Linked DNA regions of Diceros bicornis minor. The protein of the gene in region 1 purifies or fractionates together with the protein of each later gene. This does not show direct contact. Links are inferred from orthologs where the notes say so. Each region holds a gene or a part of one and is shown on either strand. Other genes may lie near its edges.

Evidence for each region.
Region 2: the proteins of POLR3C (region 1) and KPNA2 purify together in Homo sapiens (co-immunoprecipitation; 3 studies listed by BioGRID and IntAct, with this or other methods). This does not show direct contact. The link is inferred for Diceros bicornis minor from reciprocal best matches to the Homo sapiens genes POLR3C and KPNA2.
Region 3: the proteins of POLR3C (region 1) and protein POLR1D purify together in Homo sapiens (affinity purification with mass spectrometry; 3 studies listed by BioGRID and IntAct, with this or other methods). This does not show direct contact. The link is inferred for Diceros bicornis minor from reciprocal best matches to the Homo sapiens genes POLR3C and POLR1D.
Region 4: the proteins of POLR3C (region 1) and POLR2L purify together in Homo sapiens (co-immunoprecipitation; 3 studies listed by BioGRID and IntAct, with this or other methods). This does not show direct contact. The link is inferred for Diceros bicornis minor from reciprocal best matches to the Homo sapiens genes POLR3C and POLR2L.

What each region holds. Positions count from the first base shown.
Region 1 is NC_080743.1:53,359,373-53,367,173, forward strand, and holds the start of POLR3C (DNA-directed RNA polymerase III subunit RPC3), read left to right. Parts: upstream 1-4,793; 5' UTR 4,794-5,020; intron 5,021-6,067; 5' UTR 6,068-6,087; coding exon 6,088-6,234; intron 6,235-6,766; coding exon 6,767-7,022; intron 7,023-7,132; coding exon 7,133-7,318; intron 7,319-7,801. Other genes in the region: E3 ubiquitin-protein ligase RNF115, read right to left, coding at 4,422-4,523. UniProt on the Homo sapiens protein: DNA-dependent RNA polymerase catalyzes the transcription of DNA into RNA using the four ribonucleoside triphosphates as substrates.
Region 2 is NC_080757.1:47,461,295-47,468,784, reverse strand, and holds the start of KPNA2 (importin subunit alpha-1), read left to right. Parts: upstream 1-4,488; 5' UTR 4,489-4,595; intron 4,596-5,942; 5' UTR 5,943-5,967; coding exon 5,968-6,042; intron 6,043-6,192; coding exon 6,193-6,330; intron 6,331-7,490.
Region 3 is NC_080748.1:10,914,729-10,922,526, forward strand, and holds the start of protein POLR1D, read left to right. Parts: upstream 1-4,781; 5' UTR 4,782-4,839; coding exon 4,840-4,865; intron 4,866-5,832; coding exon of another isoform or gene 5,833-6,208; exon of another isoform or gene 6,209-7,798. Other genes in the region: DNA-directed RNA polymerases I and III subunit RPAC2, read left to right, coding at 4,840-4,865, 5,833-6,208.
Region 4 is NC_080770.1:1,179,874-1,185,908, forward strand, and holds POLR2L (DNA-directed RNA polymerases I, II, and III subunit RPABC5), read left to right. Parts: upstream 1-3,907; 5' UTR 3,908-3,961; coding exon 3,962-4,056; intron 4,057-5,243; coding exon 5,244-5,352; 3' UTR 5,353-5,517; downstream 5,518-6,035. UniProt on the Homo sapiens protein: DNA-dependent RNA polymerase catalyzes the transcription of DNA into RNA using the four ribonucleoside triphosphates as substrates.

The DNA.
Region 1 (7,801 bases):
ATTATTGGGTATTCAACTTATCATATCACATATTCGTTCAAGAAATATTTAATAAACAACTGCTATATAGCACCAGAGAGATGCCAGATAATCAAGTAGACTTTTTAGCTAGTTAAATCACAAATAGCAAAATTTAGGATAATCTAATAATTAAAACCTCTCAAACCCAGCTCAAATCACTGAATTCCTTCCCCTAGTTCAACAACACTACTTACATTACTTATACACCACCCTGGGATCTTTCCAAGAATCATGCAACTTAAAAAGCAAGGTTATTGAGCTTAGAGTTTTAAGAATCACAAAGTCTAAGAAATCTACTTTTCAGCTACTCTTCTAATAGGGTAGTTAGAAAGTTTTCCCGTATTAGAACCATTACAAGTACAGCACAATGATGATAACTTGTGGAGCACCTGGTAAAGAGCCAAACTAGATAACATTACTTATTGATAAGGATGACATTTTATTAGATCAAAGAAGGTGATATAATAAGGAGATGAGAGAGGGAGAGAAGCCTGCTAGTTCTTTCAGGCAGAGCCTCAGAAATGAGCAACACACTGGTAATCCTTAGACTGGTCTCTTGTCTGGATGAGGACTCTGATCTCCACAAAACACTTAAGAACCACCCTAGTCTTATCAATACCAAAAGTAGTTTACTCTGCATATGATTTATCTCACCTGCTTAATGATGATTCTATCAGACTCCATCTCATAAGGTAATATTCCCTGGCCTTGATGTAAAAGAGGACAGAATGACATCTTTACATTCCATAACACAGCCCTCTGTGGTACTGCCCAGTCATTCATCAATGGAGCACAGTAACTGTGTCAGTCTTGACTTCACAGTGTCTCTCAACAGTATAGCCAGGTGAGGCAAAAGCTTCTGCTGTGTTATGAAAATAATTTTAAGTTACTTAAGTATTTCTTCTATCATTTGATGACCAAAAAATACACAATGCCATTTTACCTAATCATATATAAACTTGAAACTCTGGGGTTTCAGACCATATAATCAAAATCTCTTATTTTAAAATTCAAGTTTAGTACTCACTAAATTTTACTAAAATTAATTTCACTGTAAATAACAAAACACTCCCAATAAGAGAAAGAAATTTCTAAATCAATATTCACTTCTAGAATGGAGACTCTTTTTTGATGCCTAACAGATAACAGTACCACTGAATACTATATTTTCATTTTAAAATTCCATTCACGGTTTTCCCTCATTTCTTAATATCGTCTTTCTAAATGAAACGTTTTTCTCTTATCTGGGAGGATTCATACCAAAGACACACAAAGCTAAGATGGATAAATCAGGATTAGCAATAAGGAGTGTTATTTCACCAAATTAATTCAAACGAATGTGGCTTAACTTAACAGCATAAGGCATATTTCAATCTCTCTCAGAAATTATAGCCAAAACTATTTCTTCTAATTCAGACACGAAAGTTAACTGGGTCTGTGAATCTTTCAGAGTAGTAGGACTGACAAGATAAATGATAAACAAAAACCTAAGAGCAGTTTCAGGGCTGAACATTGGGTAAACTATTGTTATTGCCTGTGCACACTTCCAAATGTATCAAGAAGTGCTGTATCCTAGCGATTGGGAAACGGAGAAAAAGTAAGAGTGGTAAAAACCTTGCAACCTGGTCCCACTGAACACAATTATGACTCTGCTATGTGGTGACTAAATTGGCAAGAGATAAGACGGCTCTGAAGCAGTCGTTCCCACTGATTGAGTGAAGAAACCTACCGAGTAATAGCTCATTGAAAGCTGATGTAAAACTCCATACGCAGCCTCACGTGTTCAGGGAGGACAGCGCTCGTGGATGATGGTTCTTGTGATCCATTAAGACAAAACAAAGAAAAACTTCATTCACAATAAGCTGAGTCTAGCTATCCTCAGAAAGACATCCAGCTTTCCCATAACATTTGTCCAGTTGAAGAAACAATGCATGCCTAATGTATACTGAGTACTTACAGTGAGGGAACCTTAAGTTTATATAAAAAATTATTTTCAAAAAACTTTTCAATGTTCTCCTATATATATGAAAATCATACTACTGACTTACCAGTGTTTGAGTTGGTTTTTCAGTAGCAGAGACAGATTTGTACTGAACCAGCCACTTACTGACCTGGTCATTCTTACAACCAACATTTTCAAGATGACAGTCTGGGGTTAAGGATATACAAATGGCCATGAAACAAGATGCAACTCACTGGGTCATCTACAAATCAAAACTAAACCCCTGACCTCATTGCACCTTTTCCTAAAAATGCATAACAACAATGATTTACTAAATATTTCTCCCTTCTTCCTCAACTCACTCTTCCTTTTCTACCTCAGTCTATGCTATCCTCCTCAATCTGAATTCTGCCTATCCTGTAGAACTCAATTTAAATCCCATCTCTCACTCTTTCCCTCACCTCACCAATGTTACCATATCCCCCTCTCTCTGAATTTGAAAGCACATATTACCCATCCTCACTCACCTTACACTGTTACTTTTTCCATGATTGTCTTGTCTTTCCAACAAAATTGTGAGCTCCTTAAGGGCAGGAACCACATATTCCTCAGTTATTGCCTTCAGAATATCCAGTACAGAACCTTGTATGTATGTGTAAATATTCAATTACATTTAATTGTGTTAGGCCTTAGTTTACAAATCAGACATTACAGATAATAAATCAGAGTAAAAACATCAATAGCCTCTCCTCCGGGCATCAAACTAAGGCTTAGAAAAACATCCAAAAAGTCTTTCAAATTATCACTGTTCAAGAGCACTCTGAAGTGAGGACTTGAGATGGTAAAAAGAAAAGATATAATAAGTTGTGGAAAGTTAGACTGTTTTCTCACTCTTTAAGGCAAATAGTGAACAGCGACTTAAAGATCAGTAGAGCTACGGATACAATGTTCAACAAGGCATCACATTCAACAACATGTCACTGGTCACACACACACTAGCTCAATTCCAGACTCCCTTTCTGTGGTAAGAGAGTTCTGGAGGCTCGGATGTCCACTGGAAAAAAACAAAGCACCTGCTCTTCCCAGCACTGAAACATGGCAAAAAGCACATACACACACCGCCAAATCAGCAAGCAAAACTAGCCTGTAGATGAAACTATGACTTTGAAGTTGGCGGTAGGGCAAACAGAAAGAAAAGAAAATACTATAAAAGCCTGAAAAAGCACAACTTTTAGGTGAAGAGGCTACAATATTCTTCAGGCACTTATTCACAAGACTCTTTGTGTTTCTAAGAAATAAGACATACAGACACACTTTAGTAGACTTTCTCATACTGTACCTGAGACACTATAAGTCTAGAGGTAAGTTGTTATGAAGCCACCCTGTCAAGACTGAACCTGATTACTTCTAAGGAAAAAAACAACCATAACTAATTCTAAAGATGGGTGGCCAAAGGTAGGATTACCATTCACCCCAGTGGGTCTCCCTGCAGTAGTTACAACCCGACCCAAAACAGGGCCTGGGTTTGGGGTGCTGTAGCTGGCTAGCATCCTGCAGAAGCGCTTTCTTCACAACCATAGCACTACCCCTCTAGGTGCTAACAGTCTGGCAGAAACTGGTGAAAACCAATTTTATGTCAGAGGATGCAGTCCCCAGCATTCCGTCCTGGATCTTTCTATTAAATGAAGAGACAAAGCGGCGCAGGGGGGCGGGTAAGGGAGGTGGTGCCAAAGACACTGGCAGCAGGACAACAAAAATAACCAAGTTGAAACAATATGTCCTGCCTTCTTCCTAAAGCCATTTCCTTCAATAGTGATAGGGAGGCAGGCAGTCTGCAAGTCATTACACACGGCTGTTTTCACTTTCACAAGAACCCTGGAAACCAGTGAAGAGCAAAATCCCCCTCTCTGCCCCACAGTTACCTTCCAACCCTCTCTCTTTCGTGCTTCCTTCCTTCCTTCCTTCACTAGAGACAACCGAACAGGGACAATCCTCATCAATCCGCTATTTTGCTTCACTGAGGATGGGGGAGGGGGAGGATCTGGTGAAGTAGAAAAGCAAAGAGGAAGGTGAGAAGCAACAGCGGAAAGAGTATCGAGTAGGAGAAAGAGAGGTCATAGTGAGAAGACAAGGTGAAGAAGAGTGCAAGAAAACTGAGGGGAGAGTTGTCAGAGGAGAACTAGCTAAGAAAGACAGAAAGATGGGGGGGGCAGGTAACGAGGGGAGAGGGAGTGAAGGGCAGGTCAAGCATCCGAGGGGGAAAAAAGGCCGGACGGGAGTTATGGAGCCAGGGCCGGGACGCCCAGGGTTGGGGGCCAGCGACGGGAGACCGTGAGCAGCAGGTATTGGACAGACCGATGTCAGGGGAATCAGGGGAGTGCGGGGATCTTAAGACCCTGTGGACATCGGGCCGAGGAACTCACGCCGATGCCGAGCGCAGAGGACACGGGGCTCTTACCGGTAGTTTGGGGCTGACCTCGCCCTTGCAAAAGTGGCAGAAAAACCGGTGCGCGGCGACAGCGGCGCCTGCGCCCGCCCCGGCCGCCGAAGCCTCCGCCATTTTTCTCTTCCGCCGCGGCTGTCCGAGAGGGCAGCGGCCCGTCCCTCGCCAAGCCACTACCACCCGGCTGCGGTCGCCGCCTCTGCCGCCGCCGCCGCTTCCTCAGTGCGGCCGGCCGCTCCAGAGCCCGCCTCGGTCACGTGAGTCTGCCGAGCCCAGAGAGGCGACGGCGTCGACTGCGACCCCGAGGCCCGCCTCCCAGCACCAAAGAGGCGCAGGAAGGAGAGTCCGCCCGCTGCGCCCGCCCGCCGGCTCCTCAAACAGCTCCTCGCCGGTCCTCCAGCCTTCCAGCGAGAAGAAAGAAAGAGTGTCCCCGGAAACCACCGAAACTCTGAGGGTAGAGCGGCACACGTTTTTCCCTTTTCCCCGTCCTCCTCGGTGTCGATTCTCCTGCAAGAAAGGGCCGTGGGCTCCCCCTCTGCCCCGGCGGCTAGCAGGAGCCACATGAAACCGCCGGCCGTGGGGAATCGGCGGCGTTAGATTGCATTGACCCAGAGGTTAGTGGAAACTGCTGTCTGAACCAAGGGACCAAGTCCAGAACGGGAACCTGCGTGAAGGGAGTGAAGAGCCAGGAGTCAAGCTCCTTGAAAATCCTTTTCGAGGACGGCAGAGGGTCTAGGGATGCTTCCCCAAAGGCATGTGGTTGGCCTACTGAGGCTGAGAGGCAAAGACTTGGCTTCTGAGGAATTGAGAGAAACAAATGAACAAACCAATGTTTGGTAGCACTTGGGATGATAAGGAAGTAATTATATAGCCAACTACGTCTGTTTGTGTCTACTTTGTCAAGGAGTAGAAATTTCAAAATTAAATACTGCCCTGCAAACAACATACTTCATCTCCTATTTGAAACACCCTGTTGAGAAGCTCTCCTTTACCTCTTAATTTCTTTTTCTATGTTGTCATGTCCTTTATGGACTGGGAATGACACTGCCTGTTCACTCCCAATGGGCTGTGAACAGTGGCCTTAATTCTTCCAAACAATGAAGTATAGAATCTAAAGTCTGTGACAGATAGCAGATCCATCTACACCCAACCTTTAAAAAAAAATAGAGGAAAAAAATTAAAATCACACATAATTCCATAAAGATAAATTTGATGTATAGTCTTCCAGGCTTTTTTCTATACGTACATGTTTTTCTTTTCTTTTTTCACAATAATTGAATTTTCCTCGACATTTTGCTTTGTAACCTGCTTCCTTAGTGAACAATTTTCTATGCTAATACATACTATATTTCATTTTAAATGTTGGCATAGTATTCCATCATATGAGTATCCCATAATGGATTGAATTAATCCCTTATTGCTAGACATTAGGTTGTTTCCAGTATATCAGAATTCTAAAGAGAACTACAGTGACATCTTTTTATTATTTGTTTGGAACGATGTATTCAAAACAAAATTATTAGGTCGAAGTTATCCAAGATTTTAAGGCTTTTGATCTGTAATGTCAAATTGCCCTTGAGAAAGTACATGAATTTACACTCAGTAGCTCTACTCCCAACATAAAAAAAAACTTTCCATCATACAGTCCTTTTTGTTTCCAGCTCTCAGACTCCTCAGTACAATGACTCAAGCAGAAATTAAACTGTGTTCTTTGTTGCTGCAAGAGCATTTTGGAGAGATTGTAGAAAAAATTGGAGTCCACCTAATCAGAACTGGCAGCCAGCCACTAAGAGTAATTGCCCATGACACAGGAACATCACTGGATCAGGTATGTTTGGATGACATTAATTTGCTTTCATTAATTTCTTTTATCTACCTTTGAATATTGTTACTTCCCACCCCACAAAATGGAAGAGGGAGAAAGCCTGCCCTGGGATCAGAACAGTGTTATTTGCGGGGAAAGAGGATGAGATGTAGGCCCCAAGGTTCTGCTTCTCAAACTTCCTGGTTCATCATGGCTTCTTAGGCAAATCTTTGCTCTTCCTATGCCATACCTCATTTATTCATAATGAGTCTGTTAATCTCAGTACTACTTTTAAGGAATGAGAATAATAAAGGGAAAGTACATTGTACTTTGGAAGATGAAGATCAGAGGAAACATGAGCATCGTAGCGAGGAATCTTCCTGATTTCTTCTATGGACATGTGATTCTTATTAGCTCTTTCAATGGAGGGAGGGAAGAAGCACAGAGATTCTTATCTAGCCATCTCCTGGTGCTGAGTAAACTGTTGGACAAAATTGCCTGCAATAATGAGCGGTGGCTTCAGATCTTTTCCCTCTTTCTTTTGGGTCCTATCTAGGTCAAAAAAGCTCTTTGTGTCCTCATCCAACATAACCTGGTGATATATCAAGTGCACAAACGTGGTGTGGTGGAGTATGAAGCCCAATGCAGCCGGGTGTTGCGAATGCTTCGGTATCCCCGGTACATCTATACTGCTAAAACACTATACAGTGACACTGGGGAGCTAATTGTTGAGGAGCTGCTGTTGAATGGCAAAATGACAATGTCAGCTGTTGTGAAGAAAGTGGCAGACCGGCTCACAGAGACCATGGAGGGTCAGTACTGTATCCACTGCTGTTAGCAAAAGCATAGATTGGCTGGCTGCAGGAGTAGACCCTCAGCTGTCTTAGGCCATCTCACCTGCCTTTTTCCTCCTGTTGTACAGATGGCAAGACCATGGACTATGCTGAGGTGTCAAACACATTTGTGCGACTAGCAGACACACACTTCGTGCAGCGTTGTCCCTTGGTGCCTGCCACTGAGAATTCAGACTCTGGGCCACCACCACCTGCCCCCACTCTTGTCATCAGTGAAAAGGACATGTACCTGGTTCCTAAACTGAGCTTGATAGGTAAGGAATTTTGACCCCTGGACCGTGACTTGCCCTAATTGTTGATTCTTCATCAATGATTGTTAAATGAATGAATCAATCAATTGGGCAGTTACCAAGGATTTATTCTGTGCCAGGTACTGTGGTGTAAAATGATAAAAAAAACTCATAGTCTCTACCCTTATGGTACTTAAGTCTAGTATAGGAGACTTAGATTAATCAAATAAACCAGATAGATATATAACTAACAAACTTTGATAAGTACTATGAAGGAAAACTGTGAGGTATTATGAAAATATATAACGGGACCAGCTTTATCTGGGGATTTCGGGCACATGCTTCTTTGAGAAAGTGGCATTTGAGTTAAGATTTGAAGCAGAAGTAGGAGCCAACCAGTGAGGTAAAGTATGAAGGAGTACAGAGGATAAACATTTTTGGCAAAGGCAAGAGTATATAGTGAGAAAAATATAGGATATTTTAGGAAGTAAAAGAAGGTCAGTATAG
Region 2 (7,490 bases), on another chromosome or scaffold:
AAGTCCTTTTGCTGTTTCAGGCTCAAATCCAGGATACCACATTGCATTTAGTGTTTAGTTGTTTTTGAAGAGTAGGAATTAACTCAGTAATATTCCTCTTGTACAAGTTTTGCAAGAAGTGTTTAAACTCTTCAAGTTAGTCAACTGAACCCTGAAAAGTTTAAACTCTGATTGCATTTCTTTTATTACACTAATTTGCAAATCAAACACACACACCCCAAAACCCGTAAGTTCTAAATACAATTTGTTGTTCGTAATAGTTTAGGGACAGAAACCACAAATTATGTTTATTATATTTGTATGTTGTAACAGCACAGTTGTTTTGCTATAAACTCTCCTTAGTACTGAAAATAAATGTTTGGAGCTAGCAGAGTTGGATCTGCTCCCAAACTCCTAGGGATTAGGATGGGGAGAAAGTTTTGCATGTATGGCTGCCCGTGGTGAAGCTCTGCTTGAAAAGGTAGGCAGAAAAAGAGGTAATGCCATCCGTCCAGTCGGCAGTTCATGTTTCCTAAGGCTTTTTTCTTTCAAAAGTCACTGTAAATTAAGCAAGAATAAATGCCCCTGTTTTGGATCCTATCTCAGCTTTCACGCCAAATTGTCAACTGCGGTGTTTTTAACAAGCGGAGATGCATTTCCTAATCTGTAACACAATCTCCTCAAGGTCGCTGTAGCGAAGTGAAATAACCACATTTTAAAATCTACCTCGCTGTCGTCAGTGATTATCGTCTGTCCCTGCACCAAAACTGATCTCTGTGCGACCCAGATGGGACTCGAACCCACAATCCCCAGCTCCGGAGGCTGATGCCTTATCCATTAGGCCACTGGGTCACCACGAGATCCGGGTTCTCACACCGTCTTCTTACGTGATGCCATCATCGCGCCCCGCCCTGCCCTGAGCTCCGCGGCCTCGCGTCGGGCGGTGTGTGATTTGGGAGCCGCCCCTAGCGGCGACGGCGCGCGCTTGCGCCCTCGGCTCGGACTGCAGGGCGAGCCCCCGCGCGCCTGCGCGGGGCCCTGTCCGCCCCGCTGCCCTGGGCTTGCGTGGCCGGCACGCGGACGGTTCTGGGCGGCCTCCTTCCGGGTGGGTTCTGTTCGCTGCGCGGACTGCACATTAGGCCCACTTGGGAACTTACCACAAAATTCCAATGCCTGTCCTCCCAACGTTCTATTTCTGTTTATCTGGCTGGGCCCGGGCGTCTGTATTTTACAAGTTCCCCAGGACCTTTCTCTGCCGCCGGCGTTAGGAACCACTCGCGGGGCGTGAGGGCCTCCGGCACCTGCCCCCTACACCCAACCCTCCCGTCCCTTACAGGGCCTTCCTTCCCTTTCTTTCTTGCATTTATTCAACGTACATTAATTTGATAATTATGTGCTGGGGACTGTTGCGGGATTCCAGGGTGAACAGGCTTTTCTTCAAATTTGCCCTTCTCCCCCATTCGTCTACATCCACTTTCCTCCCCCTCTCCTCTTCCCCTCCAGGTTAAAGGGAAAATGAATATAACAAGGTCCCTGAGTACAAAATAATACGGATTTTTGTTTGTTTGTGTTTATCCTAAAGCTGGGTTTTGGATAAAGATTTAGACTTTCTGGTTCCATACACAATATCTCTGTGCTTGTTGCATGTAAAGATGCTGCATTTGTGGCTTTTAAAAATATGCAATTTAGTTTTCTTGTTAGACATACAATACCTGTTCATTGTAAAATTGTATAAAGTATGGGAAAGCCAAACGAAGAACATTGAAATTGACCATAATTCTACCATTCGGAGTTAACCACTACCAACATTTTGATGTGTGTTTTTCAAATCTTAAGTGTCATTGTGTCATATGTCACTGTTTTATTACCTGTGGACCCTGACTCATCCAGGAAATGGTTTTCATGAAAGCTAGGACATTACTAGTGAATAATAATTCACTAATCATTCAGCACTGATGGTGCGGAAGTGATGGTGGGTAAAACTGACACCTTAGTGAATCAAGGCAGTGGCATCAAACTAGTAATGGTGTCTTCTTCACCTTTGCGCACTGGCTGTGGGGGGGGGGAGCCAGCTTCACTTAAGAATGTCCTTGATAATCATATAAGAATTATTAATTGTATTCAGTCTTGACTCGAGTACATATCTTTTTAATATTTTGTGTAACAAAATGGGAAGTGTGCATAAATCACTTCTACCACATACCAAAATACAGTGGTTGTCTCCTGAGAAAAACATTTGTGTGATGTTTGAGTTGCAGGCTAAACTAGCTGCTTTTTCAGTGGAACATCGTTTTTACTTGAAAGAATGACTGACAGACAAACTATGATTATTCAGATTTGGACACACTTGGGTTTGGTTCTCCAGAGCAGCTACAGTCTCAGGCGCCCATCATCACAGCACACAGTCCTGTGGAAGAGAGAGGCTATCTCACTCTCAAGGGCCTCAGTAAACTTTTTACTGTACTGTGTTAACATCTTCATCACCAAACCAATATGGCTGTGTCTCTGCCATAGAATGTACTGATTGGCCTAGGCCAGACAGGCCCTCTCCTGAATCTCTGTCCAGACTACAATAGCTAAGAGTAGAGGATGTATGGTTCCCCCTGGGCAACATTGTGTCTTTCAAAGGCAACTTTCACTTTTGACATTATACTTCCGTTTCAGGTTGTTTTCAGGTACAAGTACAGAATAGTGATTGAGAGCATGGATCCTGGACTAGACAGCCTGGGTCTGAATCCTGTCTCTGCCACTTATTCATTGTGTAAACCTGGACGAGTTACTTAACCACTCATGATTCAGTCTTCTCTTCTGTGAAATGGAACAGATAATAATACTACCTCGCACAGTTGTGAAGATTAAATGTATTAATATATGTAAAACAGAACACTTCTGGGCACATAGTACTCAATATTTTCAAGCAAAAGAAAACCCAATTTAACTAGCTTAAACAACAAAGAAAGTGTATCAGATGACATAATCACAAAGTTGTATAATTGCAACCTTCAGAGGTAGGGCATGCTGTCAATCAGAGCTTTCATGGTTTCTCCACCACTGTCCTATTCATACTTCCAGGAGTAACATCCCTCAGTTCAGAAGAACAGAGCCTGCTTTCCTACCTGCAATCACTAAACAAAAGGCATAGGCTTCCCAACTGGATGAATTTAGGTCACATGCCTGCCCCTGAACCATTCACAGTAGCCAAGAGAATGCCCTGCAATGACTGGCTTAGGGGTGAATTCCTTCCATGTTTTTGCACTTAGAGTGGATAGGATTCTGCTGATTGGGTAGGTGGGAATAGAATCAACCTCCTATGAACCACATGCTGCTACACAATGAGTGAGACTGGCATAAATGCCTGCAAGACGACTAAGTTCACTGTTTCAATTCATTTATAGCAAAAAATAAATCAACACAACTTTTTAAAAAATCCTTTTTCAGAATACAGAGAAACAGCAGAAAGAAAACAAAATGGCCCACAATCCTGATGCTCTGATAACCCTCATTGATGCTTAAAGAAAAGTACATGGCAAGAAAATGTAAACATTTTATTCAGAAATGTATAAAATACAGCATAGATCATTACTAGAACAATTGGCAAACCTTGAACATGAACTATATAATTAATAATAGCATCAAAGTTCAGTTGTCCTGAATTTGATGATGGTGGTGTGGTTATATAAAAGAATGCCCTTATTTTTAGAAGATACACGCTGATATATTTAGAGGTAAGGAGACATGATTTTTGAAACTTACTCTTAAATCGTTCAAAAAGTAATATGTAAAAGCCATATATATATATGTATGTGTGTATATGTATTTACATGGAGAGAGACAGAGAAATAAATGTGGCAAATGTTAACGTTTGGCAAATCTGGGTAAAGATTTGCAATTCTTCTGTACTGAAATTATTTAAAAATAAGTGTCTGGAAAAACAGGCATAATAAACCTTTTGTTACCATATTTGTGGCTTCTTTGCAGTCTTTTATGACACAAGTTTTAAAAAAAAAAGAGAGAAACTAAAAAATGCAAGACAAATCTGCCTTACTCCTCCCCTCCATAGTGGCCAGAAACCCCTGCCACGTTCCTTCTGTGTCCTATCAGGGAAAAAATGTATATCAATATTTTTCTATATGAAGATTTTTAAAAAGAAAGATTTTGGGAATCATCTGTGGTACGTGGTTAAGGCCACCCAGGAAAACGACCAGCGACCTTACTCGCATAAACCCTCAGCAGCGACCGGACCATCCAGCCAAGGCGGGGCTGGGAACCGGCCCTTCGCGTTGCATGCCGGGATCTGAAGTCTTTCCACTAAGAACTGCAAGGCGCTCTGGGATCGCCCGGCCGCTCCCCCATCTCGCGATGTTATCCTCCCTTCCTCTGGGCCCTATGATCACCACCCCTCCCCAACGTGTTTTTCAAATCCACCAATGGACGCACAGCGTCTGCTCGAACCAGCCAATCGGAATGCGGAGCCACCGGGAAATTTAAATCGCGCCGGCAGGCTGCACGAGCCACACCGTCTTCGGGTTGAGCCGTGGTGGACGTTTTGAGGGCATCCGATCTGCAGCCTGTGCGTCCCGCGCCGATTGCTGTGGAAGCCTGACCCGGCTGTGAAGGTACGAACTCAGGCCGCAGCCTGGCCCGAGCGGTAACGGCTGGCCCCAGGCCGCGCTTGGCTTTCGGGTGGCGAGAGGGGAGGCCCGGGTACACGCCCGGCCTGCCTTCGGCCTCCCTCGTTGGCGAGGCCTCGGGGGCGCCGTTGGTTGACTAGGCGGCTGTTCCGCGATGCGAGTGCGTGGGTTGTAGGGCGCCGAGGCTCTGCGGACCGCAGCGGGAGCCCTTGCGGCCCGGAGAATCTCCGTTAGGCCCGAGGGCCAAAGTCCGGGAGTGGGCCCGGCGCCTCCGGCCCCTCCTCCGCCGGTTCCCCGCCGCGTCTCCCCGGGGTGAGGGGCAGGGGACGGGACCGGAGGTGGAGGCGGCAGTTGGAAGGACTCGCTCCTTAACACGTAGGCGCTGGGTTGGCTGTGGCACAATTTCGTAAAAGAACATAGTGGAATTAAAGATAACAGATCGTAGGGAGGACTTTTACTTTCGTCACCTTTCAGAGATTGCTTTTAAGGTATCTGAGTCTGAATGAAGCACCATTAATATCAGCCCGATTAAGTGCATTCACTCGCGATTCCTAGAAATGAAAATGGGTGCGGGATGCTGGGGATGCAGAACTGCGTCGCAAGTTTTCAGTGTTGACAGGAAATGTGATGGAAGACTCCATAATGTAATGATGAACCAAATTTTTCTTTAGTTTTCAAGTGAGAAATTTCAGGGAGAATGTAGCTATTTTGGCCATTTAAAGACAATAGAGAGCCTCCAGAGAATCTGAATTTATTGCCCCTAGGACATAGATTTTAACAGTAAGGTCAGTTCCCCTGCTTTGTCTTCAGTTGGCTCTTTATGGACTCCGTATAGAGTCTAGAGCCGCACTGTCCAGTGTGATAGTCACTAAATGTATGTGGCTCATCCGAAGTGAGATATGCTGTAAGCTTCAAGTGCAGGCAAGATTTTGAAGAACTAGTATGAAAAAAATAAAATATCTCAATTTTTTAATGTTGTAACGTGGTGAAATGAGAATATATTGGAAGTGTTGGGTTAAATAAAATATATTATTAAAATTAATTTCACGTAATTCTTTTTGCTTTTTAAAAAATGTGGCTACTAGGAAATTTAAATTTATGCACGCTTGCAACATATTTCTGATGGACAGCACTGCTCCGGGAAGTCTCAGCCCCTTCAGAGGGGAGGGGACAGATATCATTTGGCCAAGACTATTTCATAGTGCTCAGAAAGGAAGTTTGTCCTCTAACAGAGAAGTGTAGATTCAATATATGCTTGGTAATTGTGTTGATGCTCTTCTTATTGACAAAGCAAAATGATAAAAGGGAAATTTTTTCTCTCCCCCATCTTAGAGCTTTCTCCCTTTGTCTCATAACCATGTCCACGAATGAGAATGCTAATTCACCAGCTGCCCGCCTTAACAGATTCAAGAACAAGGGTAAAGACAGTACAGTGAGTACTTTCTGTTGATTTCCTATGGTATTTTTTAAATGGGAAGATATTTGAGAAGAGGTCAGAACTTTGAGGGAATTTGAAAAAATGCCCTCACTTGGCAAGAAAAACTAATCTAATAGGTGAAATGATGTGTTATCTTTTTGCAAGGAAATGAGGCGGCGCCGAATAGAAGTTAATGTGGAGCTGAGGAAAGCTAAGAAGGATGACCAGATGCTGAAAAGGAGAAATGTAAGCTCATTTCCCGATGATGCTACATCTCCACTACAGGAAAACCGCAACAACCAGGTAAATATATTTTAGCTTCTGAATTATGGTAAACCCAGAAAATCAATATGGGGCTTTTCTTAGAAATTTAACATTCCTGGCTTTATGGTTTTAACTCTCAAATCTGAAGATCATTTTTTCTGCTCCCAATCAGTAATTCTGATGGGTTGTCTTCTTTCCTGCTCACCCTCCATAATCTTTTGAAGCTGATTCCAAGGTTGTCCTGAGTTCCAATCTCCTCCCTTCGAGTTTTCCAGCATTTCCAGCTGCCAGCTCGGTACCTTAACCTGGCCATTCCAGTGCTAACTGAAATTAGTGTATCCAGAACCAACCACTTTCTGGCTTATTTCTACCTTTTTTGATATTCTCTATTTTTTGTACTTGTCACTAGCTTTGTTCAGGGCTTTTTCTTTCTGAAATATTTTCAGTAGTCTCCTAATTTATCTTTCCCTTCATTCTATGCCACATACTATTTACTTAAAAATTTTCCTAAAATTCTGCTTTAGACATGTTCTTTCTTTGCTTAAAACTTTGATGGTTTTAAATCCATATTATTTGAAGGTTTTTTTAAATTAGACCCATCGTAGATTTTTAAATATCTCTCGTTTTTAAAAGATATTGGGCACTTTCCTACCTTTTATCTCTGTCGCCCCCCCCCCCCCCCCGAATACTACCTACGTGCTATTTCTAGGGTATTATTCTCAAATCCATCTTTTCCTTATAGCACTCCCTGGTCAGCTTAGCAGGAAAAATGCCCCCTCTCAGAATTCCTCTAGCACTCTGGTTCTGCACCAACAATGGAGAGTAAATGCTTATATAACATATATATACACATACATATATATATATACACTATTTGTTGTACGGTTGTTGATGTCACATTTTCCTTGTTAAGTTGTAAACTTCTAGGGAAAAAGGGACACTGTCTTTTTGAGTTGTCTACTTGAGTTATAGTATTGGTTCTCAAACTTTTCTACTGGGATTACAACATATAACATTTATATTTGCAGCACTATACCATGGAAATGCATAGATTATAAGGTTAGATGTGAAAATCCCCAGCACATTGCCTATAACTCCATCCCTTTTTCCCCTAAAAGCTTATGCAAGTGATTGAGACTAATGTAGAAATAACCTTCAAACTGCTCTAATTCACTTTTTTGTTTTTTCCTCCTAATTCA
Region 3 (7,798 bases), on another chromosome or scaffold:
ATATGAGAGGAAAGCTAAAGGGGATTTATTTTGTAAATCTCCCCGGTCCTGTAACAGGGTCATTTTAGGCCTGGCCAAGTCTTCTACAACTATAATTCTACACACAAGATATATATATACACACATATATACACAAATATCTTGCATGTTGAATTACACATATATATACACATACACATATATTTTCAACCAACACTGTTTTCTAAGTAGAATGGAACCCATGAAGTGAGACCTTTGATTCTTCTAGAAACTTTGTTGGATTTTGACATAAAAAGGTGGGCCTGGAGTGAACTTTAAGCCCATAAGCAGGGAAAAGTTAAATGACTCTGCATAATAAAATAAAAAATATTTGAATTTTTGGAGGCAATCAGAAAGGAGAGAAAGAGGAGAGAGAGAAGGGCCAACCAGATTATATGAGCCTGAAGTTCCCCTGTAATGGTAGCCAAAATGCATTTTAAGAATAGAGATGCCTAATATTCAACATCAACACTCTCAGGACTGCAATCCCCAAATCTCATAAAGTTTACCACAACGCACAAAGGCTTTAGGTGAACTCTCTTTTTTCTTTTCCATTCCTTCCTCGCTCCTGTCGACACATCTATCCAACAACTTCATCACGGACATCTCAACTATCCAGTAGCACCTCACTGGTCTGCTCCAAATCTAATTACCTTCCTTTTCCCACTCCTTGTTTTTAACTGCCCTTCTCTTATCTCCCAACATTCCACTGCTCATTAATGTCATTATCACTAAAGGAACACCTAATATTTACTGAGCAGTTGTAACGCGCTAGGTCCTCTGCCAAGGGCATTACATGCGTAATTTCATTTGATCCTCAAACCCTACTAGACAGGTACTATGATCATTTCCTAAATGTGAGAAAACCAAAGCTCAGTCAGGATAGTAATTCTAAGAGTAAGTGATGGAATTCAATCCCTGACTCCACAGCCAGCTTAACCAGTACACTCCAATGCCTCAAGTCAAAAAACCTAGGAATCATCCCTAGGAATCATCATTAATCATATCTAGTCACTTACCTATTCCAACCAAATATACCTCCTAAATGCCACATCATCACCTACTTCCACTGCCTTCACAGACAACTAGCATCTACCAAGTCCTTACTATGTGTGAAGCACTATTCCAAATAATATACATGTTTTTCAAGCTTTATCCCCCAAACCCCATGAAATGAAGAACCTGAGGAAGAAAGAGGTTATATAATAAGTGATATAGCCAGATTCAAACCCTGAAAATGTGAATTGAGAAGCCTGAGCACTTAACCCCTATAGTATAAAAGCTCCTACTTTGTCCCCCTACCTCCCATCTGCACCCCCACCATCCTCCAGACCGCTGCAAATATCCTTCTGGAATGCAAATGTTATCACAACATTCTCCTGCTTAAAACTAGCGGCTCTGTATTACTAACTGGCTAAAGTCCGGTTTTCTTAATTTGGCATACAAAATCCTTTGTGTTTCTGTTTAAGTCAGTTCAATAAATATTTGAGTGCCTACTGTAAGCAAGGCAAAGTGCTAAGTGCTCTGAAATGAATACTACCCAGCCCTTGACTACCACTCCAACCCCATACATTGTGTCCTTCAGCCAGAGTAACTAGATGCAGATCTCGTAATGCAACACCCTACATATTAGTCTCTTTGTCTAGAATGTACCTGGAAAATCCCACACCAATTTGAAGAGTGAGTGCCTATGTGGGGCCTTCCCTAACAAACTCCAGGCAGAAATGCTCCAAGTTCCCACAGCACTTTGTTCAGATAACTTTCAGGTAGCTAGTAGTATGGCTCAGCTTCCCAATAAGACTATGAGCAACTTCAGGGCAAGAGCCGAGCCCTGCCGTCAAGGCCTGGCATGCAGTAGGCACTCTATCATTTGCTGAATGAAGAAATAATGAAAAATTTCTCACTTGAGAAAAGGAAAGGAACAAGATACAGAATTAGGAATGTTAACACACAAGTGGGCCAAATTAAAAGTAGTGTTATTCTACTTCGGTTCCGATTTGGCATACATTTTACCCCTATGGGAAAAATCACATGTGGGACTTGGACAAGCTAAAAAGGTAAAACTTTGTTCTTCATGGCTTAACAAAGTTTTGACAGGCCCCAAAAGGATACTAGATCAAAGTCCATTTTCCAAAGGAGTGTGGAGATCGGAATCAAATCCATCAAAGTAAATAAAATTGATCTGAGATCCAACTTCATCAGTGCTGCGTCACAGTACACACAAGAAAAAACTCAAAATCTGTCCCGGGACGAAGGCCAATTTACAATTAACTACTGCTGCTTCAAGAATGTGAAATTCTTTAAGTGAAGGCAGTTCCAATAAACCGAAGCTCACAACTGTTTCCTCCTCCTGCACTGCCACTGCTTTTCACTTAACTTCGTTTCTGGTTTCTGTGATTTAAAAAGAAACATCTATACAGTTAAGCCCGTGCATGAATGTACTGTAGCTCCTGGCAGATACGAACGTCTTGATTTGTAACCTTAAATGTAAACTGAAATATCAGAAGAAACACTACATATAAGTTAAAATTCCTTCGTTTAAAATATGGCATAAAGCTTTAAAAAGCGAGTGATGTATTTCCTGAGTGGTGCTTTGTGTGCAACTGCTTCAAAACCAAGATCCATATTTTGAAATTACCCCCATGAAGAGGTGAAATCGCTCTCCCACCCTCTTTGGCCTGAAGGGAAAGGTGAGAATTCCTAGGCAACAGGCTGGGACGGAGGGTACGATCTCTCCCCATTCCTTTCCAGGGGAACAAGATCTGACGGAAGGCAGCTAGTGTCTCTCATTCACCACAACATACACACAGGAAATAAAAAACTCTTCCCCACCTCTCCCCTTAAAAAAGCAAAGGACGCAAAGATCTGCAACACAGCGGCCGGAACCACCAAATGGTAACAGCCGGGGGCCGCCCACCTCTCCCCGGCGCCTGCCCGGCGGCGAGCACCGGGCGAGGGCAGCCCGTCCCTCCCTCCCTGGACAAGCGCAGCCGGCCCCACACCCGGGTCCGCGTTCCCCGCAGCCCGGCGCGCGAGGAGGAGAGCCGCGCACCGCGGCGGTGGCGCCGCTCGGGCCGCCTCCCCGGGCGCGGCGCTGCCCCACACCCCACCGACGCCCGCACCTGAGGCGGCTGCCCGGACCCGGCGGGAGGGCGCGGAGCGAGGCGGCCAGGCAAAGTTACTCACTGGGAAAGCGCGGCTGCCCGGGGCGCGCGCCGGCTCCCGGCGTCGCAGCACAGCCCAGCTCCGCTCGCCGCGGCCCGCTGAGGGAGTGCGGAGCTAGCCGGCCTCTGCTTCGCGGGGAATCGCCGCCACCGCCGCGGATTTCCTGGCAAGAAGCAAACTCGGGCCAAGACTTCGCTTCTCAACCGCCCCTGCTGCCTTCGCGGGGGCGAGCGCCGGGGCCCAGCCGCCCAACCCGACACGCACCTAGGCCAATCGGCGGCAGCACAGGGCGGGAGATGGGCGGGCCAGAGAGCGGCTTCGCCTATCCGAGGGTTCAGGGGGCGGGCCAGGACGGGCCGTCAGTCCCGGGTTAGAGTGAGCCTGCTCCGCCTCCCGCCGCCTGGCCTCCCCCCCCGCCTCGGGTGTTGCCGCCGCTCGCCTGATTCCCTTGCAGAACACACGCTCGAGAAGTCTCTGCGCTCCCCGCCGATCGCTGCGAAGAGAGCGGAACAGCTGGGGGAGGCAGGGAACATCTAGGGGAATGGGGGTGGGGGGGCGGGTAAGGAGAACAAGTGGCGGAGGAAAGCAGAAGTGTAGGTGTGTTTGACGAGAGGACAGCCGGGGTAGGGTGGTAGGGACAGGGGCTGACTGGGTGAGGGAGGCGAGGGGAGCTGGTGAGCGAGGAAGGGAGAGGGGTTATTAGCAAAGAACACCTGAGGGGACGGAGAGAGGAGCGGTACGAAGGAAGGAGGGCGGAGAGCGAGTCTGGGTGGTGAAAGGTTGCCGAGGCGGGGTCAGCGGCACCTGTGAACAAAGGTGAGCGAGAGGTTCCGCAGGTGAGGAGGATTAAGACGCCGAAAGGGTAAAGGGAAAAGGAAGTCCAAAGGGAAGGAGGACGTACTTCAGGAGTAGAAAAGATCCCAGGAGAGAAAGGATGGGGGCTTCCTTCCAAACTCTCACTCCTCCCCCAAAAGGTAAAGACAAACGCCTGTCTTTTGACCCACTTGAGCTGTGCAGCTAGCTGCAAGATCCCGTATGAGACAAATACCGGCTCAAACCATCCTATTCGGTTGTGAAATTCATCAAGGTGTACTGATCAACTATAGTTTAAGCCTGTCGTCCCATGAAAGCCTCCCCGAGGGTTGGGGTCCCGCCTGGGAGTAACACCATCCCCCACGGGTCTAACAGCAAGTCAGAAAGAGGCCCGAATCCGGCCCTAAAAAGGAAGGTGATTTGGGGGCCACAGGTAAGGCCCCGCCCCCTTCGCCATCACCTAGAGGAAGGTGCCGAGGGCTGAGTTCAGGCGCCCACAGGCCGGTCTCGGCATCGGAGTGGGGCGGGAGCCCGACCCCTCCTCTCTCCCCGCTAGCTCTGCCGGCGGACTTGCTCCGGGAGGGCCAGGTGAGCGGCTCCTGCCTCGCTCCCGCCCTCCTCGCGCCAGGGGCGGGGCATGTGGGCGGGGCCTCCGGTGGAGCCTCCACGCCCCGCCCAGTGGCTGGGCCTTGCCGCGCCGCTGCGGCTCCTCCCCGCTCCTTCCGTTTGCGGCTGCTTCCGTCGGTCGTTCCTTCCTTCCTGCTTCGCCCGCACGTTTCGTGACATGGGGCTGAGCCTCCGGTCCGCCAGCACCACCTGAGGGTCCCGGAAGCCGTCCCCGCCATGGAAGAGGACCAGGAGCTGGAGAGGTAACGGCCGAGGAGGAGGCGGGCGGGCGAGCGGGTGGGAGGAGAGGGCCGCGCCCTGCACCGGGAGCCGGTGGCCGAGGGGCCCGCGGCCGGCCGGGGCCTCAGCCTCCGCGGCGCTGCCTGGCAGCGAGGGCATGGCTGGGAGGGCAGTGGGGGAGAGAGAAGCGGGCGCCTGGGCAGGGAGAGGGTCCCCGACTGGGAGGAGAGGGGTGAAGACGTGGATGTGTTTGAATACAGACGCTCAGTACACTAGATACCAAGACAAGTTGTGAGATTAGAGTTTAAGTCCCCACTCTGCCCACCCCACCCCCCGTTAGAACAGTAAGAGTAAATAACGCTAACGTGTAAAATTACGCACCAGGCCACTGTTCCCCAAGTGATAGCATTGGTGTGCTCAGTCGGGTCGTATTCCCTGTAACTGCGGCCCAAGTGCCTCCTCTGTGCAGACTGCTAATGAAGCCACTGTGCGCTGAGATCTTTCTCCCTCCTGCTTGATTGACTCTTCTCCGACTTTCCCTTCTAGTTTCCTTACGTCCTGCAAATGGAAGCCGTAGTGGGCCTGCACGTTGATAATCTATAGTCTATTTTTATAATAATCTGTGTTTTTATACGCCTTTCAACTCCGTTTTCATCCTCTAGCAGGGCCCTCCCTATTCTAATCCTATCCCTTTCTTATGACTCTACCAAAAGAATATTTTAGCAAACATTTAAGTTTGTGTTTTAAGGAGACTCGCCTTGTGGCCATGTGGACGGTCAAATGGAGTAGGGAGAAACTGGAGGCAATAAATTAAATATTATTGATAGACTATGTGGAGGCAGCAAAATAAGGGGCTAATGCTAATAGTTCTATGTAATTGAAGTACATTAGAGTAATAATGTGTTGCAGTTGTGAAATAGTAAATGAAAAAAGCTAGTTAACAAAACCATATTCAGTATGATCTCATTTTTATAAAAAATATGTGTGTAGAAAAAGATCTGGATTGAAGACCTCAATGGCTGAAGGCGAGAGGAAGACAGCCCTGGAAATGGTCCAGGCAGCTGGAACAGATAGACACTGTGTGACATTTGTATTGCACGAGGAGGACCATACCCTAGGAAATTCTCTTCGTTACATGATCATGAAGAACCCGGAAGTGGAATTTTGTGGTTATACTACAACCCATCCTTCAGAGAGCAAAATTAATTTGCGCATTCAGACTCGAGGTACTCTTCCAGCTGTTGAGCCATTTCAGAGAGGCCTGAATGAGCTCATGAATGTCTGCCAGCATGTGCTTGACAAGTTTGAGGCCAGCATAAAGGAATATAAGGATCAAAAAGCAAGCAGAAATAAATCCACATTCTAGTCACTTATGCATGCTACAGGGAAGACTATCCTCTAGGATATTCTCTTCGTGATCTTGTAAAACCCACAAGTAGAAGTTTGTGGTTACATCATGATCTGTCCTTCTGAAAGGTGTGCTTCTAGGTATTGACCCATTGCCGCTGTTGGAATCCCTGCAAGAACCTTTGTATTGTTCTAATAAATTCCCTCTTTTATTTAAACTAATTTGAGTGGTTTCTGTTCCTTAGTCCTCAGGTTGACTGTTTTAGGGTTTTTTTTCTAGCTTACTTTCTCTTTTTTAATTGAGCCAACATTGAAAGTGAGGAAACTATGAGAAAATCAGAGGCCCAGGCAAGGACTTTGATCAAGGGGATTAAAAGGAATATGCATTCATGGCTATGATTGGGGGAGAGGGAGAGATGCAATAGAGCATGACCCCACATAGACTTGTTGGTTTAAAAAATAAAAGGAGGAAGGAAAGAAAGGTGGGAGGACTTAGCTTCTTGATAGATAGTTTTTAGTAAATTCATGGGAGAATTGCATCCTTTGCTATGATTGGTAGATTGGGCAAGGGTGGGGAATAATTTGAAAGAATTGTGAGAATTCTAGTTTCACATGAGAGTTTTTGGTGGTATCAGGCTCCATCTTTGTGATAGCATTTACAGGATAGATGCCAGTTTACTGCTTTAATTTCAGGACAGTAATAAAATATTTAATCAGAAATGACCTAAGTAGGTCAAGAGAGTTTAATTGTATTACAGAAGGAGAAAACTGGGAAGACCAGATAACGTTTTCAGTCCTTAGGTATCTAAGTATAGCCCAAGGTTACATTAAAAAAGGAGTATTTGAGAAACAGTAAGGACAGGGAGAAGGAAAATTCCATGTGGGGAAAATGATTTTTTTTTTTGGAAAACTTAAAATATTAGTGAATCACGTCTAAGAGCTGTCCTATTTACCTCTTCAGCGTTGTCTCTCATGCCTGTCCTACCCCAACTTGACTCTTAATTCACCCTAATATCTGTCAGCCTTTGAACCTGAGCACACCACCCCCCAGTGCTCTGTCCTTTGGAGCCTTTGTTTATTCCCTCTTCCTGGAACACTCTTCCTTCTGCCATACTCTGGTCTAGGTAAGAACTTACATGTCGGACTTCCTACCCTAGTTTGGGTATTTGTATGTGCTTTCATTATGCTCTGTGTTTCTTGGTTTTGGATTTACTATGCTATTGTTAGTGCTTATGTTGTGTACCCACTATACTAACTTGAGGCACAATGCTTGATAGGTAGTGGATGGTTAGTAAATATTAGATGAATCCATGTCAGTAGTTAAGGCATATAGCCTTTTATTCACTCAAATCAGACCTCTTCTACTAGCCTACCATAAAGCCCGCATTTCCTACACTCAGTCAACTCTTTAGATAAATGTATTTCTGTATTTATTGAGCATTTGGTGTATACCAGGCCCTGGAATAGACATGTTAGTAGATGAGACACAGCTCTTGTTCACATGGAGCATACATTATAATAAGAGTGAAATTTTTTTTTAAAGTTGTAATTCTGTGAAAAAACAAATACAGGGTCAAGATAGAAAACATGAAAGAGGAATCTGCTTTGG
Region 4 (6,035 bases), on another chromosome or scaffold:
TGGCTAGACCAAGGTCCCATTCAAATAGAAACCTCCCCAAAAGCTGAAAGAGCGCTTGCCCACGCGGACTTGGAGGACTTGGAGGCCTGGAGCTGATGGGTGGCTGCCAGTGGCATGACCCACCCAGAGCCTCAGCCGCGAGCAGCAGCAGGGGCCTGGCCCAGGAGCACACATACAGTGGGGGCAGCTCAGGGTGGAGAGCAGAGCGGAGCCCGCCCACCCCGGGCCCCCAGGCCGAGCCGGCTCTGAGGCGGCTTTGAGGAGCCAGGGCCCCGCCAACACAAACAGGCCTGTGGTGTCCGCCTTCCTGCTGCCTGCCAGGCCCCAATGCCCACCCAGGCCCCGACCCTGGGGGAAAGGCAGGCTGGTACCCCCTCCACACACAGAGCCTGGGCAGGGCCCTCTCCCCACACCCAATCCACAGCCTCCCGGGCTGGGAGACACTCGCTCCAGTGGAGGGGTCCCTAGGGGAGGGGTCCCCGTGAGAGACGCCACCCAGAGGCCCCCAGTCTCTCCTCCTGGGCCCACCGAGGCCAACCCCAAGCTCAAAGCCTTGCCTCCTCACCCCCCTCTCATCCTCCCACCCTCAGGTATTTCTCTGCTAGAGGCCACGTGGAGGAGGGGGTGGAGGAGACACAATTAGGACCTGGGAGTGGGGGGAGCCTTCCCACCCACCACAGGCCCTGGGAGCACCCTGCCTCAGGTGCCCAGTGTGTGCCCACCTACCTTGCACAGACGTGCCCACCCGGCCCCGTGCCACAGAGATCCCTATAGAGCAGTACCCTCAGGGATGTCCGGAGGGTCAGTAGGTTAGGGCCATTTTGGCCTCAAGCACATCTGCAAATGCCACCACTCACGACTCCACATTCCCCAGAGCCCAGAGCGTTAAGTACTGGTGTGGCAGGCAGTGACCTCGCCCGACCCTGGGGAGGCGTCTGAGCCTGTATGCTCACCCCACCCGACCCCGCACGCCCCCTGTGTGAGCCCACATCTACCAAGCAAGCAGGGCCAGGGGCCGAGCCTGGGACCGCACGCCTGCACAGCCAGGATTGGGACCCTCCCGCTGGGCAGCTTCTGGTTCCACCCACACTTTACAGACCAGGAAACTGAGGCTGTGACCTAGGACCAGGGGGCAGGGTGAGCCCTCTCCCAGGCTGGGTCACCCCTGTGGCCAGCCTGTTTCCAGGGCAACCCTCAGGGCTGGAGGGTCTCAGCAGCTCAAACTCCAATCGCTGATTTCCCCTTGTCCGGTCTGCCCTGAAGTGACCCCCTCCGGCAGGAAATGAGGCTCAGGGGTTCCAAACCACACATTAGCATGGCCCTCCTTCCTCGAGCCCCCACCACCGGGGCGGGACAGTCCACTCTCAGAAACCGCGCCCCGCTCTCCCGTCCCCATCTCCGGCCCTCCCCAGAGGCCTAGGCTCCACACACACCCAGGGGAGAAGCTAGGGCCCCCACCTACCCTTGCAGCAGACACGGCCCCACCCCCAGCCCACCACCTCCTGCCCCTGCCCACCCTGAAGAGAGCCCGGCCCACACCCCAGCCTGCTCCTCCCAGAGCGTGTGCACACACACACACACAGACATACGACCACCCAGGCCCCGGCAGCAAGGCAGGGCTGACCTCTGAGGCTCCCCCAGGGTCCTCTGGTCCAGCCTGAGCCACAGCAGAGTCAAGACGGGAGGATCAAGGGCCCCAAGGAGCCTCCGTGCACACGGGTGTTGGGAGTACGTGCACAGGCTGGGACAGCGGCAGCCACGCTGCTCCCCATGGCCTCTCCTGGGAACTCAGGGAGCTGGAGGAGGAGCTCAGGAAGAGGAAGCCGGCCACCACCCCCAAATCCACACGCAGCGCTCAGAATTCCAGGAATGTCAACTTGGCTCTGGCCAGCATCAGGGCGGGAGGCTCATTCCCCTCACTCTCTCGGAGTAAACAACTGCTCACGAGTCAGGGCTGGAGCAAGGGTGGGGCAGGCCCTGGGCCCCTCCTCCAGGAAGCCTTCCATCCCCCCCTAGCTCCTGAATGTCCACCCAGCGGACATCCCGGAGCCCCTCCCCTGTCTCCCTCACCTCCACAGCCACCGGTAGCCTCTGCAGCTGAGCCCGAGTCCGACTCCAGGCCACTGTGACTCAAGGCCCCCGTCTTGCTCCTCTGGTCGGGGACAGGATGTGCGTCCAGTCAGCCTGGGGGAGGGCAGGGAAGGGAAGTGGCCTCAGCTCGTGGCTCTGCACGTGGCAGGGTGGGGGATGGCAAACGCCACTGGGGAAGCTGTCCAGAGCCCAGGTGAAGGTGGGGACACAAATTCCAGGCAGGCAGCAGCTCTGGCCAGCCCCACCCAGGACCCAGAGGACCCTCCATCTCCCTGCTCCCCAACTGAGGCCAGAGTCCATCATCCACCCTGAGAGGGCAGTTAGCTGATGCCTGGGACCCAACGCTGGCCCCATCCCAATCAGAGATCCAGACACCCCAGGCCAGTGAACATGCCCAGAGCCTGCACACGCAAGTAAGTCATAGGCGCCACTTTGTAACACATCCACCCCCTACTGCCCAAAGCTCACCTCCTCCAGGGAGGTTTCCCTGCCTCTCACTACACACTGCCCTCCCTGCAGACCCCAGCCCCGGGATCACCCGCTCAACCCACCCCATTTTCAGAGACACAGCCTCCCATCCCTTTAAATCCTCCATGGTTCCTGCCCCATGACCTCGAGCTCCACCACCTCCTCTGCCCTAGTGCAAACCTGTCTCCTTGAGCTGCTCTGCAGGTACAGCCTCCAGGTCTCTGCCCGAGGGTTCCCTTTGCCCGGATCTGTCCTGCTCTCTCACACACTCAGGCTCGCCCCTGGGGAAATCCTGTGTTCTTCAAGGTTCAGCTCAGGGGTACTTCTTCGAACACACTCTCCCTGACCACCTTCCCTAGCCTCTGCTCCCCTCGGGGTCCTCAGAAGTCCGATGCCCTCAGATCGCGGGCGATCCAGCGCAGCCTGGCCTGGGACAGGTGCAGACTCATCCCACACCCCCTCCCAGCCCCTTCCCTGGGAAGAAGAGAGGAGCCGCCGGCCCAGCCCGGCACCGGCCCGATTGCTCCCAGCGCGCCCTCAGCCGTCGGGGCTGCAGGTAACTACCCGGCTGGGACCGATACTATGCGGGGGAGTAGGCTGGGCGGTGCCCCGAGGGGCCAGGCCGCGGCTGGGAATGGGATCCCCAAATCAGCTGCAGAGACCCCCCAGGCACTCGCAGGAAGAGGCTGCAAGCAGGAAGACCCTCGTCCGGGCCGGGCGGGAGGGGCAGCGGGAAGACCTGCCCGTGGTCGCCCGCTCCCACCGGCCTCGCTGGCCGGTCAGCCCCTTTCCGCCCCGCAGCGCGTCTCCGCGACCCCGGCCCCGGCCCCGCCACTTGTTGCTGCGGCTCGGCTCGGGGCTCCGCGCTGGGGCACGAACTCCGCGCCGGCTCGGCTCTGGGCCCGCTCCTGGTCCTGGGCCCGGTCCCGGTCCCGGTCCCGGTCCCGGTCCCGCTGCGGCGGCAGGACCCCGGCCACATCTTCCAGACCAGCGCAGTACCTGAGCGCGCCGTCTGCCCGCCGCGCAGCTGTCAGTCATGCGGACACGAGAAACGCGAACCGCCGACGACAACCCTTTAAGGCCCCGCGCGGCCGCCGTAGGCCGGGACGTACTAAAGCAGCGGACGGGGTGGTGCCTCCTGTTCCTGCCGCTGCCGCGCGGGGCCCGTGACCTCCGACCCGCGCGGAGGGAACTCGTGGCGGCGGGAGACGGACGCCGGCGGCGCCAGGGGCGGGCAGGGCTGGCTGGCGGCGGCCGGGGACTGGGCGGTCACCCCCCGCTCTATAGGCGCGCCCGGGGCGGGGCGGTCACCGCCTGCTCTATAAGTGCGCCCGCGGCGGGCCCGGCGCCACACGCAGAAGCGTCGCCGGGCGGTACGGTTGTGCTCTTCTGTTCCACAGCCATGATCATCCCTGTGCGCTGTTTTACGTGCGGCAAGATCGTCGGCAACAAGTGGGAGGCCTACCTGGGGCTGCTGCAGGCCGAGTACACCGAGGGGTGAGGCGCGGGCCGGCGCGGGAGGGGAGGCTGCCGGACCGTCGGCCTGCGGGCTGCGGACGGGGTAGCGGGGTCCGGGCCTGCAGGACGGGGTCGGGGTGGGGGGTCCCGGCCTGCGGAACGGGAATAGGGGTAGGGAGTCCCGGCCTGCGGGACGGGGATAGGGGTGGGGGATCCCGGCCTGTGGGAAAGGGACGGGGGTGGGGGGTCCCAGGCTGCGAGCGGGGAGTTGGGAGGGTCCCGGCGTGCGAGGTGGGCAGAGGCACTCATCAGATGCCAGGTGATGCTGCAGTTCCGAGGTACCTTCCAGCCTGACCTTCCCTCAGGACAGCGTTGCCTCCCACTGCCCGCCAGCTTGGGGAGAGGTGGGGTGTTGGGCATCAAGCAACTGGTGTCTTGGGGACACCTAGGTATGCTGGCGGGTTACCGTGCCTCTCTACCACAGTTAAAACTCTCAGCCTCCTCTCCCTGTGCTTGCTTCCTAATCTTGTTTCTTTGTCATTAGGTCCACATCTGTACCCGGCAAACCCACTTTCCTTTTAGGACGGAGGATAAGCTTTGTGACCACACAGCCGTCCTCATCAGGCTGTTGTGGGTCCCTTTTCTGTGCTTGCCCTTTAGCACTACAGTTACCACCATGCCTATTCTAGTCTCTCTTCCCTACTAGAGGCTAAACTTTGGGCCCTGTGTGGACAGCCCTGTGTCCTAATCAAATTTGAACCCCTGGGGCTTGGGGCATGCCAGCACGCCATAGGCTCTCAGTGCAAGTATGTTGGATGAACGGGGAAGCCATAGGTGGGCTGAGTGTTAGCGCCAAGCCCTGATGAGGCTGCTAGTGACGAGAGTGCTAGGGAATGGCTGGCAGCCTGCATGAGACCCCTTCCCTGGGATGCCATGGGCAGGGACCTCCCAGCCTGGCCTCCTCTTTCCCAAACTACTATCTCTGCTCGTTGGAGGCAATGATGTGGAAATATTCAGGCCTTGAGGGTGACTGGGGCTGGGTCGCAGGGAAATTGAGAGCTCTAATTGGCTCAGGAAATGAGAGAGGGGGCTCCCTGGAGTGGAGTGGGGCTGAGGAAAGATCCCACAGCAGCTGAGTGGGACTGAGTATGGCCTGTGCACGGCCCTCTGTCTGCCAGGGACTGCCAGGACAAACTGACCACAGCCCGTTCTCTCCTTGCCGGCAGGGACGCCCTGGATGCTCTGGGCCTGAAGCGCTACTGCTGCCGCCGCATGCTGCTGGCCCATGTGGACCTGATCGAGAAGCTGCTCAATTATGCGCCCCTGGAGAAGTGACTGCGCTGGAGTCTGCCCGCCCGCCTGCCGTGCTGACCACTTGCCCAGGGTTCATTCCACCCAGGGGTGGGCAACCAGGAGCAATGCCTGCCCCCAGCTGTGTGGGCGTGCGTCTCCCACTCTGGAAGGAATCATCCAGTAAAGGTCTTGGCAGAACCACAAGGAGGTTCTAACAGTTGGCCTGGTTTTGTGGGACTTCCCACCGCCTGCATTTCTGTGTCCTGTCTCATGCCTGAGGCCCCTTGGGGGTGAATGCAGCCCTCACTGCCCAGGAGGCGGGAGAGCCATCCAAATGGCAGCTGCTCCTCAGCCTGGAGGGTCTCCCTCTGGGGTGTGTGCTGTCACAGCCCAACAAAGCCACAGACAACCAGGAACCCTGGGGGTAGGGGAGATGCCGGGGGGACACTGGCATCCCCATGCCCAGGTTCTGAGCCCCCTTTAGGCAGAGCACAGAGGTCCCCACATCCTCTCTCCCAGGATCTCAAGAACCAGATTTTCTGGGCCCTGAATAGAGTGCCCACTGTGGTCATGGCTGTCCATCCTGAGGGTCCTGCTGCCAGAAGCTTCCAGGTTCCCCCCAAGCCCAGCAGGCCCCTCCCCTTGGCCAAGTTCCTGCCGAGGGCGAGGAGCAGGGCCTGGCCTCCAACAACCAGCCCTGAGACCCCCACAGCAGGTCGGGGGTG